3 linked regions of the Sus scrofa genome follow. The protein of the gene in region 3 interacts with the protein of the main gene of each other region in a pairwise test. Links are inferred from orthologs where the notes say so. Each region holds a gene or a part of one and is shown on either strand. Other genes may lie near its edges. The genes, in order: AKAP7, MYL6B and SPA17.

What was found.
Region 1: the proteins of SPA17 (region 3) and AKAP7 interact in a two-hybrid assay, tested with the Homo sapiens proteins (3 studies listed by BioGRID and IntAct). The two-hybrid records come from large-scale screens. The link is inferred for Sus scrofa from reciprocal best matches to the Homo sapiens genes SPA17 and AKAP7.
Region 2: the proteins of SPA17 (region 3) and MYL6B interact in binary tests that used the Homo sapiens proteins (3 or more experiments, as listed by UniProt). The two-hybrid records come from large-scale screens. The link is inferred for Sus scrofa from reciprocal best matches to the Homo sapiens genes SPA17 and MYL6B.

Annotation. Positions count from the first base shown.
Region 1 is NC_010443.5:32,275,050-32,278,700, forward strand, and holds part of AKAP7 (A-kinase anchor protein 7), read right to left. Parts: intron 2,327-3,651; coding exon 2,179-2,326; intron 1-2,178. UniProt on the Homo sapiens protein: Probably targets cAMP-dependent protein kinase (PKA) to the cellular membrane or cytoskeletal structures.
Region 2 is NC_010447.5:21,552,894-21,556,644, reverse strand, and holds the start of MYL6B (myosin light chain 6B), read right to left. Parts: upstream 2,295-3,751; 5' UTR 1,903-2,294; intron 1,569-1,902; exon of another isoform or gene 1,542-1,568; intron 585-1,541; 5' UTR 539-584; coding exon 317-538; intron 1-316. UniProt on the Homo sapiens protein: Regulatory light chain of myosin. Does not bind calcium.
Region 3 is NC_010451.4:51,917,492-51,921,242, reverse strand, and holds the start of SPA17 (sperm surface protein Sp17), read right to left. Parts: upstream 2,328-3,751; 5' UTR 2,183-2,327; intron 1,111-2,182; 5' UTR 1,084-1,110; coding exon 930-1,083; intron 1-929. Other genes in the region: SIAE (sialate O-acetylesterase), read left to right, coding at 2,447-2,513. UniProt on the Homo sapiens protein: Sperm surface zona pellucida binding protein. Helps to bind spermatozoa to the zona pellucida with high affinity. Might function in binding zona pellucida and carbohydrates.

The sequences.
Region 1 (3,651 bases), on a different chromosome or scaffold from region 3:
AAACAGCAATAAAAGAAAATTCAGTGGGTGGAACACAGTAATTTGGGGTAGCTGAACAGAGCTGTCTAATGGCAATATAGGTGATACATGCTGTGAGCTGTATAATGCAGCCCAATACCTTCAATAAAATCTATGTTCTGCTCTTTTTTTCTTAAATGGGAGTGGGAGAGGCAATGAGGCACTAAGTTCTCCTTCAAGGTTGGCTTAAAGTAATTACAGAGAAGATACGGAAAGCTAGCCAAAAATCTATATTACACTAGAAGGATTTAAATTTGCCTTTTACAATGAACCTAAAATGAAATGTTTGGTTCTCATCAAAACTCTGATGGAAGACTGCGCTCTCAGAGAGATCCTGAAAACAAGAAAATCTTCCTTAAAATACACTTGAAATGTTTCAGAACATAAAATTCAAATGTCAGATTATCTTCTGTTTGAGATAGTTAAGGTCTTTGGAAGGTAAAATGATGATGACTTCTCTGAAGATCTGGGAATTGAGACATAAAACTGTGTTTCTTGAACATTTTAAAAACGCTTTAAAACAAACTTCAGTATTAAGATTTTTCAGGATGTATATTTCCATAGGTTTTCTTCCAGCTGATGTGGAGAGAAGTGACCTTGGTTGCAGACCTTGAAATATTTAGATAGACGTATTTATCTTCTTTGGATACTTTCATGTTACTTCAAAAGTGTAAAAATCAGGTTGTCTTGAAGTTCACAATTTTATAAGAAGATTGCCCGGTTTGAAATAGTAAATTTGAATCACAGCAGATCAGGCTCCTTTGAAATTCATTCACATTGCAAACGATGAGAAATACCCTGTTCTGGCTTTAAACGTTCTTCATTTGGTGAGCACACTTTGCCCTTGGAAACATAATTACTGTATGAATCTGTCTCATCAGATGCCATCTCCCTGACAAGATGATAGAGCATTTATGTATGAATCTTTGTTTCTCCTCAAAACATGTTTTTCTTAGGGAAGAAATTGAAGGACAAGTTTTCAGCCTGTGCAGGCCCCCTATGCTTTCCCTTCTTAGAGTGAATCTTTCTGGCCTGGCACACTCCATTCCTTTTTTGTTCTTTGTCTTTTGTTTTTTATCTTTTTGGGGCTGCACCCACAGCATATGGAAGTTCCCAAGCTAGGGGTCAAATAGGAGCTGTAGCTTCCAGCCTATACCACAGCAACTCGGGATCCCAGCCGCGTCTGTGACCTACAACACAGCTCATGGCAACGCCGGATCCTTAACTCACTGAGCACGGCCAGGGATCAAACCCGCAACCTCATGGTTCCTAGTCAGATTCGTTTCTGCTGTGCTGCAACAGGAACGCCTCTATTCCTCATTAAAAGCAGCAAACATGAAGATGCCTGGTATAGAATGCTGTGGCCATGTAAACATTCATTTTGAGAAAAAATCCTTTCTTCATATTCACGAAGTAAAATTAAATTGAAATGAATTTTGAATCAACATTTCAGGACTTCACATGATTATACTGAAAGCACAAAAGTACAAAAACTGTAGGTATTAGCAGATGAAGACTATTGCATTTGGAGTGGATAAGCAATGAGATCCTGCTGTATAGCACTGGGAACTATATCTAGTCACTTGTGATGGAGCATGATGGAGGATAATGGGAGAAAAAGTAAGGGTCAGTACAGTAGAAATTGACAGAACACTGTAAATCAACTATAATAGAAAAAATTAAAATCATAAAATTTTAAAAAGAAAAAAGTTAATAAATAAATACTGGTTAACAGATATGAATATTTAATATGTTCCACAAAAAATTATTTATTTTTAATTTTTTGACATTTATTTTTTTTATTGTTATTTCCCCAATACAATTTTTTTTCTGCTGTACAGCATGGTGACTCAGTTACACAGACATGTACACATTCTATTTTCGCATGTTATCATGCTCCGTCATAAGTGACTAGACGTAGTTCCCAGTGCTACACAGCAGGATCTCAATATTTTTTTTTTTTTATTTCCCAGGAAGTTTTTAATTCCTCACTGGATTTTTCCACCTATGTTCCACAAAAATTTTAATGTATTATTGTCTTAACATAATATTTAACAGAATATGTCATGGAGAAAAACGACAAAAAAATAGATGCCAAAACAAAAGGGTGTTAAAGAAATCAAAACTAAAGATAATAAATAATTTGTAAATGGCACTCACCAATCACAATTGATGACTCACAGTGATAATAACCATTACTTTGTTTTTTCTTCAGCATGGAGCACAGATCTATGCAATGTACCACTTCTTCTCCAAATCTGTGACTGATGAATTTTTCATAGACTTTGGGGTCTATTTTTTTCACTCCCTTGAAATGACAAAACAAAATCACGTCAATCAATCATTTTACCTAGGAAACCAGTTCATATCTCTATCACTTTTTCAGAACATGATATTACATTTTGATATACGGTGCTGCCTACCAGCATCTGAAAATGATACCACAAAATGTTGTAAATGTGTCTTTAAAGTCTCTCTGCCTAGAATGAGTTGTATTAAAAAAACTATTAAGGAGTGTTGGGTTTGAACTTGGAAGCATTCAAACCTTCATATGCTTTAAACTTCAGAAAGAGTAAAGTACATCACGTTGAAATTTGAGATATCAAGGCAAGAGTAATCATCACCAATGACAACGGAGAAAAGGGTGAATATTTTCAAAGTTAGATGGATCTTAATTAATATTTTATAGTGTGTAAAATGTTCTAATAAAATGGATGCCATTTTTAAACTCCTTATGTAAGCTTATTTGAAGTGGTGTAGAGGGGTCAATGGAGCTTCCAGGTCTTTCCCAACCTGCCCCTCCTGCTTCTCAGTGTGTTTTCACAGCAGAAAAAGGGCTGGTTGTTGAAAAATTACAGTGGGATGTTCTTGGTACCTCTGGAGTTTCCCAAAATATGGAAAAGAATATCTTCCTCTCCCCTTATTATACAAAGGTCCTATACCTGTCTCATAATCTCAAAGCACAATCCATAAAATGAAGGAAGATACAGTACCCCACAGGGCAAGTCTTTTGGCTGATTGACCATGTGTGACATTTTTCTTTTAATTTATACATATTTTTACATTGCCCTGGAACTAGCTATCATTTGCTAAAACTTAAGAAATTATCCAGAATCTAGAAAAAAAAGAAACAAAAGTCATTCATGACCCTGTTATTTACATAAAATATATTAACCCTTCAAGTCTTTTTCTTGCATAGATGTTATCTTCACATTACACTTATATAAAGCTTACCAAAGTATAAATAAAATAGTTTCCCTTTTTATTCATGAAAATTATTATAAAAATTTTTAAATAGATATAAAAACAAAAAAATTAAATTACCTCAAACTACTACTACATAATTTTGTTATGTATCTTATTTTTCCCATGCAAGACATGAGTTGTACCATGAATACTATTTGATAACCAGCTTTTTTCAGTTAATATGTCATATCAATAAATAATATATAGCATTCTCCTTTTCTTTCTTTCTTTTTTCTTTTTTTTTTTTTTTGCTTTTGAGGACCACGCCTATGGCACATGCAGGTTCCCAGGCTAGGGGTCAAATCAGAGCTACAGCTGCTGGTCTACGCCACAGCCACAGCAATGCAGGATGAGCTGCGTCTGCAACCTACACCACAGCTCACAGCA
Region 2 (3,751 bases), on a different chromosome or scaffold from region 3:
TCCCTCCCTTCACCTTGAAACTGTCCTCAGAACCCAGATGTTCCCCATCTCACAGTCCCTGCCTCCAGCAGGAGGGTCAGTGAGAATGTGTGTGTATATACGTACACAGAACGTGTTATAGATTAGAGGAAGAGCTCAACAAAGACAATAGCAGAGTCATGACCCTGAATCCTTCCAAATAGGGGACGAAGGGAAACCCCCGCTATCATCCAGTGCTTACTGATTCCCTACCTTCTAGATACCCCCTAGTCCTCTAGGCTGAATCCCACCCTTTACCACTCCCTCCAAATTCTTTTCTCACTTTCCAGGGACTCACCACCACTTTGGAGAGATCGACGGGGGGCTCCTGGATCTTCGCAGAGGCTGAAGGGACAGCTGGTGCTGGTGCTGGTGCTGGTGCTGGCGCTGACGCTGACGCTGGTGGTGGCTTGGCTGGAGGGGCCCCTGCTGCTGGCTTGGCAGCAGGCGCAGCAGGCTTGGGGTTAGGGGGCCCCACTGGTTTCTTCACGGGAACGGGAACATCCTTCTTGGGAGGCATGATGTCCGGTGGCCAAAGGACAGTGTGCCGATGGGGGCACCCATCTCTGTTTAAATAGCCAGGGAGTCTGGGATGTCAAGGGGCGGGGGCAGGGGCAGGGAGCCAGTTGGCGATGGGGAGGGTGAGATAGAGGAGAGATATGCTGGCCTGCCCTCACTCCCCTGGCCTCCTATGGTTCAGGACTCCTGCCCCAAGGTCTTCTCCCTTCTGTCCACCTGGCCCCAAATGCTGACCAGAACAATGGCCCCTTTGGGGGCAGGGGGAGGAAGCCAGAGACTGCCCAGAATGGGGGAGTTAACCTCCGGGGTGAGGATAGGATGCTTGCCAGTGACAAACAGTAAAATAGGGGTGAGGCAAAGAAGGAGATCCAGGCATTCAATGCCCTCAACCCTCTGACTCAGAAGAGCCCTTTTTCCTAGCAGCTTTAGACTCTTGAAGGCTGAAGCAGGGATGGGGGCCTTGTGAACTGTGATTGTTAAAGTGGGGTCTGGGAGTAGTGAAAGGTGAAAAAAACAAGCAGACTCTCTGCTCCTCTCTGACCATGGATGAGAAGCAGGGATAGTGGATCCCACAGCTTCATAATCCTGAATACTGTAATTCTCTAACCCTCTTCCTGCCAGCCCAGAACTGGAACTGTGTACAAAATAGAGACAGAATAGTAAGAGAAGAGTGTGACCTCCCCCTCCGATTGTTCCTGTACCCAGTGTTAAACGTTTAAGGAGCGGGGATGCGGGCAAGGACAGTTTAACACCCACCATCCATACTCCCAAGGAAGGAACACTTGTCCACAAACCTATGGTCATTCAGGTCAGACACAAGTAGGGTGTCTGAACCTGCAGGGGCTCCTTGCACCTGGGGGGAAGGGCAGGCTCTGAGAGGCAAAGGGCTTAATTTCTAAAATCTCTAATCCAAAAGGACGTGGGAGGCCCTTTGGCCTCCATGAGTACTCATTCCCAACCAGAGGGATAATAAAACCTCCAGACTAGGTTGCCAGATTACAAACCTTGCTGGGAGCGCTGGGGTAGAGTCGAAGTCCGGGCATATGGGGTGGGGGGGGGGGCGTCACTGGCTAGTTTTGTTCTGGGGTTAAAGAAAGAGACGATTTAAACAGCATTCCGAGGAAGATAAGAGTGATCCCACTTAGGTCCTGGGGTTCAGAGAGTTGATGCTGGGTCTCCCACTCCAAAAAAGTCTCTGAATCTCATTACTGCCAATTGCCTCATTTTAGGAAAATAAGCACATCACTCTCTCTCTCTCTCTCTCTCTCTCTCACACACACACACCACACACACACACACTCACATACACACACCCTAAATATTAAATAAAGGAAAGAGTCCCTCCCCAAAGCCCCAAAAACTCACCCTGAGGGGTCCAGGTAAGAGGAGGAGGCGGGGCGAAGGGCAGCCGCAGTCCCTGAAGGGTTAATTTCGCCAGCCACCGAGCATGCCGGGAATCGTAGTCCTCGCGCGCGCCCGGAGGCTCACGGGAAACTCCGCTTAACTACGTAAGGGGGGCGGTGTTAGTGCGGTGGCTTCCGGCCCGAAGCGGCGGTTGGTGACTCAGTATGTTTGGGGCGCGTTTCTTATCCCGGAAAAAGTACTTTTCACTGACTCTCAAAACGTGCGCGGCCCTTCAGAATATCTCCCTTGTTTGGCCCTGAGTTCACTGTTTAGTGTGGGCGGAGCTGTTTTCCTGAGTTCGCTGTGAGAACGCGGAAGCAGCGGAAGGGTTGTAGCTGCCCCAGGCTCAGATAGAAGGTCAGGTAGCTCAGGAAGCACTTAACGGCCCCGGGCCGAGTGGTTAGGTCAGTTTAGCTTCCTGTTGCAGTTCGGTAGAAAATAGAGGCCATTGAGTGGCTGTATGACTTGGAACAGTAAAGTTGTTTGTTTGAAGTGAACTGGTAGTTGAAGTAAACGTTAAAATTTGGAATTAAGCCGGCTAACCTGCCGCAGTCCGAGTTGAAGTTTCTCCATTCTGCGGCCGCGTATGCATCAGGCACCCTTTCTGTTCTTCACAGGTCTCTTTGGAGTGGAGGCCTGCGTTCTCCAGCTCTTGACTCTGAGACATCTCTGCCCAGCATTGGACATCTCTTTCCCGTGGATGGCTGGTTGTTTTTTAGATTTTTTTTTTTTTTAATGGTCGCACCTGTGGCACATTGAAGTTCCCAGGCGAGGGGGGGGGGTCCAATTGGACCTACAGCTGAGGCCTGTTCCACAGCCAGGGCAACAGGGATCCGAGCTGCATCTGCTACCTACATCACCTGTGGCAAAACTGGATCCTTAACTCACTGAGTGAGCCCAGAGATTGAACCTGCCTCCTCACAGAGGTAGCGTCGTGTCCTTAACCTGCTGAGCCACAGAGGGAACTCCTTGTTTGTGTTTAATTGAGGTATGGTTGGTACAGAATATTCTGTTTCAGGTAGGTTGTATGTACTCCATTAATAGTTATAAATATTGGTTATATTCTCTGTGTTGTACATCCCCCAAGATGCTTTTGAAAGGTCTCCTTTGGGCTGGTAAGGAACCAGCCCAGCCCCACTGATCTACTACTAGATGGAAGAGTAAATGCCCTGAAGGTGCATACCATGCTGGAGATTGGGGCTTGCACGGGCTTGCTTGCAGGCAGTGGGTGGGAGTAGAAAGCCCACAAGAGGTCAGAAGAGTGAGGCATAAATGAACTTAATGGGCAGTGCAGAATTGATGTTGGCTGGTTGGGGAAGGCTTTTTGGAAGAGTAGAAATGGATTGTATAATAAAAACAATAACCGATGAGGAGGTGGAGGGTGTTAGCAACCATTTCTGAAGGTCTCCACAGAGCAGGTACTGCATGAACCATAGAGGGTGCTAAAGAGTGTGGATTCAGACTAGCCTGCTTAAATGTGATGTTTTATTTGCTATTGTTTTGAGTTCTTTTTCAGGCTACTTAATTTTTGTTTGTTTGTTTGTTTTGTTTTTTTTCTAGGCCACATCTGCATCATATGGAGGTTCCCAGGCTAGGGGTGGAATCGGAGCTCCAGCTGCCGGCCTACACCGCAGCTACAGCAGCTCGGGGTCTGAGCTTTGTCTGTGACCTACACTGCAGCTCATGGCAACCCCGGATCCCCACCCACTGAGTGAGGCCAGGGATCGAATGCACATCCTCATGGATACTGGTCGGGTTCATTTCCACTTAAACACAACGGGAACTCCCAGCCTACTTAAATTTGAATCTA
Region 3 (3,751 bases):
GCTGTAGCCACCGGCCTACGCCAGAGCCACAGCAACTCAGGATCCAAGCCGCGTCTGCAACCTACACCACAGCTCACGGCAACGCTGGATCGTTAACCCACTGAGCAAGGGCAGGGATGGAACCCGCAACCTCATGGTTCCTAGTCGGATTCGTTAACCACTGCCCCACGACGGGAACTCCCCTAGTTAGGGCTTTTAATAGAAACCTACAGCTGTAATAATTTCCATTTTGACCAGTGAGTCAGGTCTTGATAGTCAAAGACCTTCAAGGCTGGGAATGTGGAAATTTTATTTATGGAAGCAAAGAAACTATGCTTTGGCTTTCAATCATAGAGTCACTGTCTCTGGACAGGATGGGACCTTGGAAATACAGAAAAAGAATATAAATCACCTTCCCAAGCTGAAGTTTTTTGAAAAGTTTTCTTTTCAAAAGCAGTTTTTCTGTGCGCCTTTTTTGAGGAGCAGTTTCATATACTCCCGTGAATACCAACTTATTTAATCTAAGGAGCACAGAATTATTATTTTTTGCAATACTTAATAATACTTTTTGAGTAAGAAGAGTCAAAATGTAAAGAAAACCACAAACTCCTCTTACGAAGAACAGACAGTCAACTGCCCAGGATGTAGGTGGACAGCATGCTGGAAAATGGAGAGCTGGGCTGAATGTTCTCCCGACCTCCCCTTCCACTGCATGTGTTCATGAGAAATACAGTGAAGAAAGTCTGTGATAAACTGGTAACCTTCCATAAGGTGGAATGTGACATAAGAGAATCTGCCAAAAAGGCACATGCTGTTTTAAAAAGCAATAACTGTTAAAGCTATCTGCCTCATAAAGGCTTTCTGTGTAATAGGAATGGTCTTAAGCAAGTTTTACCATAATCAAAGGCTTAGTCTCTTTTTTTCCAATGCCTATTTTAAAAAAAGCTTACTCTCTCTTTTCTCTAGAAGATTCTCAAAATATGCTGCTGCAAAAGCTGGTATATTGTCGGGTTGCTCCCTCAGAATCTCGCGTGTGAGCCCTTCAAGTAGATTCCCAAATCCTTGTGGAATTCGGTAGTGGGTGTTGGAGAATGGAATCGACATCTCCTTGGAAGGAACTGTCTATTGTACCTAGAGATTCGTTAAAGATACTGTTTTTAAATTTGTCTTATTTTACTTATATAACCACAACTATGACAAATTATTTCTGAGACCCCAAACTTCTGGACTTCAATCCTTTTTACCCCCAACCCAACCCAAGTCTATCCATTGCTTCCAAAGATTTTTGAAATTTTCCCTTATTAGACTGTTAACAGTCTAATTTAATAGGTAAATCATTTTTTAAAATTACAAAAATCACAGATTTTTCACTATAATAAGTATTTTTTCTCACTCTGTCTTTTGAAGACAGAGTAATTTCTGCTATCCCACGGGGATTTAGAGTGATTATTATAAATTCATCTTAAATTGCCGAAAAGGCCCTGTTAAGGGTCTAAAATTAAAAAACAAAAAAACTAGTCCTTGTTAAAACTAACTTGTCGAATAAGTTTCACACAGTCTTTCCCTTAGCTTTCACTTCTGCTGCATGACCTGCAATGCCTCGTCGAAGCATCTGTATACTCTGGAAGGGGCAACGGGGCGGGGGTGCTGGGGGCAAGGTCATGATTTTGCAATTCCAGTCTTCAATGTTTGGGGAGTCTTATATTTTCTGGATTCATCTTGAACAGGTTTCTTTTCCTATCTTGGAATACCAGAGCTAGGTAAGAATAGCTGCTAGGCAGCATGTTGGGCTACTCAGTGTTCAAATAACACTCAGAGACCTGGCTTGTTTGTGTCAACGCTGCCGAGTAAGGTAGGGTCGGGGTCTAGGTTGGGACTACGTGGTTTAGTGAGGCCCAATCTGTAAAGATTTTTTCCCTTTCTCTTTTTGAGGGAACAGGAGATGGGGTATTAAATCATTCTAAGGTGAAAAGGTAGAGACCCTCAACCAAGGTGGGGCGAGGAGAGGGGTCGCAGGGGGAACACAGGTCTAGTCTGAGGCGCGACGTCGAGGATCTGGGATTTCACACTAGCAGAATGGGCTGCTTGGGGGCCAGTTTTCCCTAAGTTTCCCAGAATGCGGCGGGGACCCTGAGAGAATAAGAGAGGCGAAGGGGAAAGCGACGTCTCGATTTCGGAGAGGAAATGGGGTAAACCGCCTCACCTCTTCAATCGCTCTGAGCTGGAGCTGAAAGTTCCGGTTGTTTTTTCTCGTTGCCGGGAAACCGTTCCCCCTCAAACCATTCAACTACGGCGGCCGAGGAGAGCAAGGGCCAGCCCGGCGGCCGCGGACGGCTTCGCGGAATTAATGACCTGAGAAGGGCGGAGTCTGACCTTATCGGCCCTGCGCAGGCCCCGCCCACAAGGCTCCACCTCTGCTGGCGTCCGCACCGCCCCGGCGGCGCAGGGGTGCGCCCTCCTCGCAAACATGGTCGCTCTGGGGTTTGTGTTTGGGTTGGTGCTGTCGTTACTCTTGCCGGCCGACGCAAGTGCAGGTGAGGCGGCCGGGCTCGGCTCGGGCCGACCCCTGTCCGCCCGTCCGCCTATGCGGACTCTGAGTTACTCCGTAGGACGGCCCCCGAGTCCCCTTCTGTAGGTCTGGGACGGAACCCCGGGCCGAAGCCTGGTTCTCCTTGCAAGGCCTAGGCTGCCCCGGCCCGTCCTCTTTCTCCACTCCCTTCCACTGCCTTTATGATGCAGGGAGTGGGAGAGTTGGGTTTATCTAAGCGAGGGAAAGCCCAAATGTGCTCAGACCGAGGCCCTTAGTGTCTCTGAATAATTGCAGGGGAACTCGAAGGGGAGGGGGCGAAGCTAGTTAGATAATATTTGGAAACTGATGACTCAGTCATCCCAAACATTTCAGTGCTGCCCCCTCAGTGGCACCCTTGGGGAGGGTTTCCTTCAGGCTGGGTTCCTTGGGGGAATTAAATTTTACTAGTTTTAAGTGGTGATTAGGGCTAAGAAATACAACCCCCTCACTAGCTCAGAATATTTAAGACTCAGCTTTGATTCCTGCTGCAGCTCGCAGATATTGGTGGTGGGATAATATGCGTGGCATTGAGGAGGAGGGTGACTCACTTTGACTATTGTTCAGGTCATATATTGTTTCGTTTGAATACCCCGGGCTGGACGCTGGGTCACAGCCATGGAGAAACCAGAAGAGGGACCTTGTCCAGAAATGCAAGTAAAGGGATAATGCTGGATTTTTTTTTTTTTTCCCCCTTCTTTATCCGACCACTCAAATAGTGGACCCCAAAGGTCCCTGTTAAGAAAGGAAAGTTGAGGAGTTCCCGTCGTGGCTCAGTGGTTAACGAATCCGACTAGGAACCGTGAGGTTGCGGGTTTGATCCCTGCCCTTGCTCAGTGGGTTAAGGATCCAGCGTTGCCGTGAGCTGTGGTGTAGGTTGCAGACGTGGCTCGGATCCAGCGTTGCTGTGGCTCTGGCGTAGGCCGGTGGCTACAGCTCCGATTGGACCCCTAACCTGGAATCTACATATGCCACGGGAGCGGCCCAAGAAATGGCAAAAAGACCAAAAAAAAAAAAAAAAAAAAAAAAAAAAGTTGAGGTGGGAGAACAGAGTCAAGAAAAATGACTGCAGCTCTGCCTAAGAACCCACACAGTGCCCAGATGCAGACAAACTGCAGCCCATAAATGGTTCTTCAGGGTTTATCAAAAGTGTAAACTAGCAGCACTCTGTGTATCATTTCCTGACTTTTGTCCCCACTTGGTGAG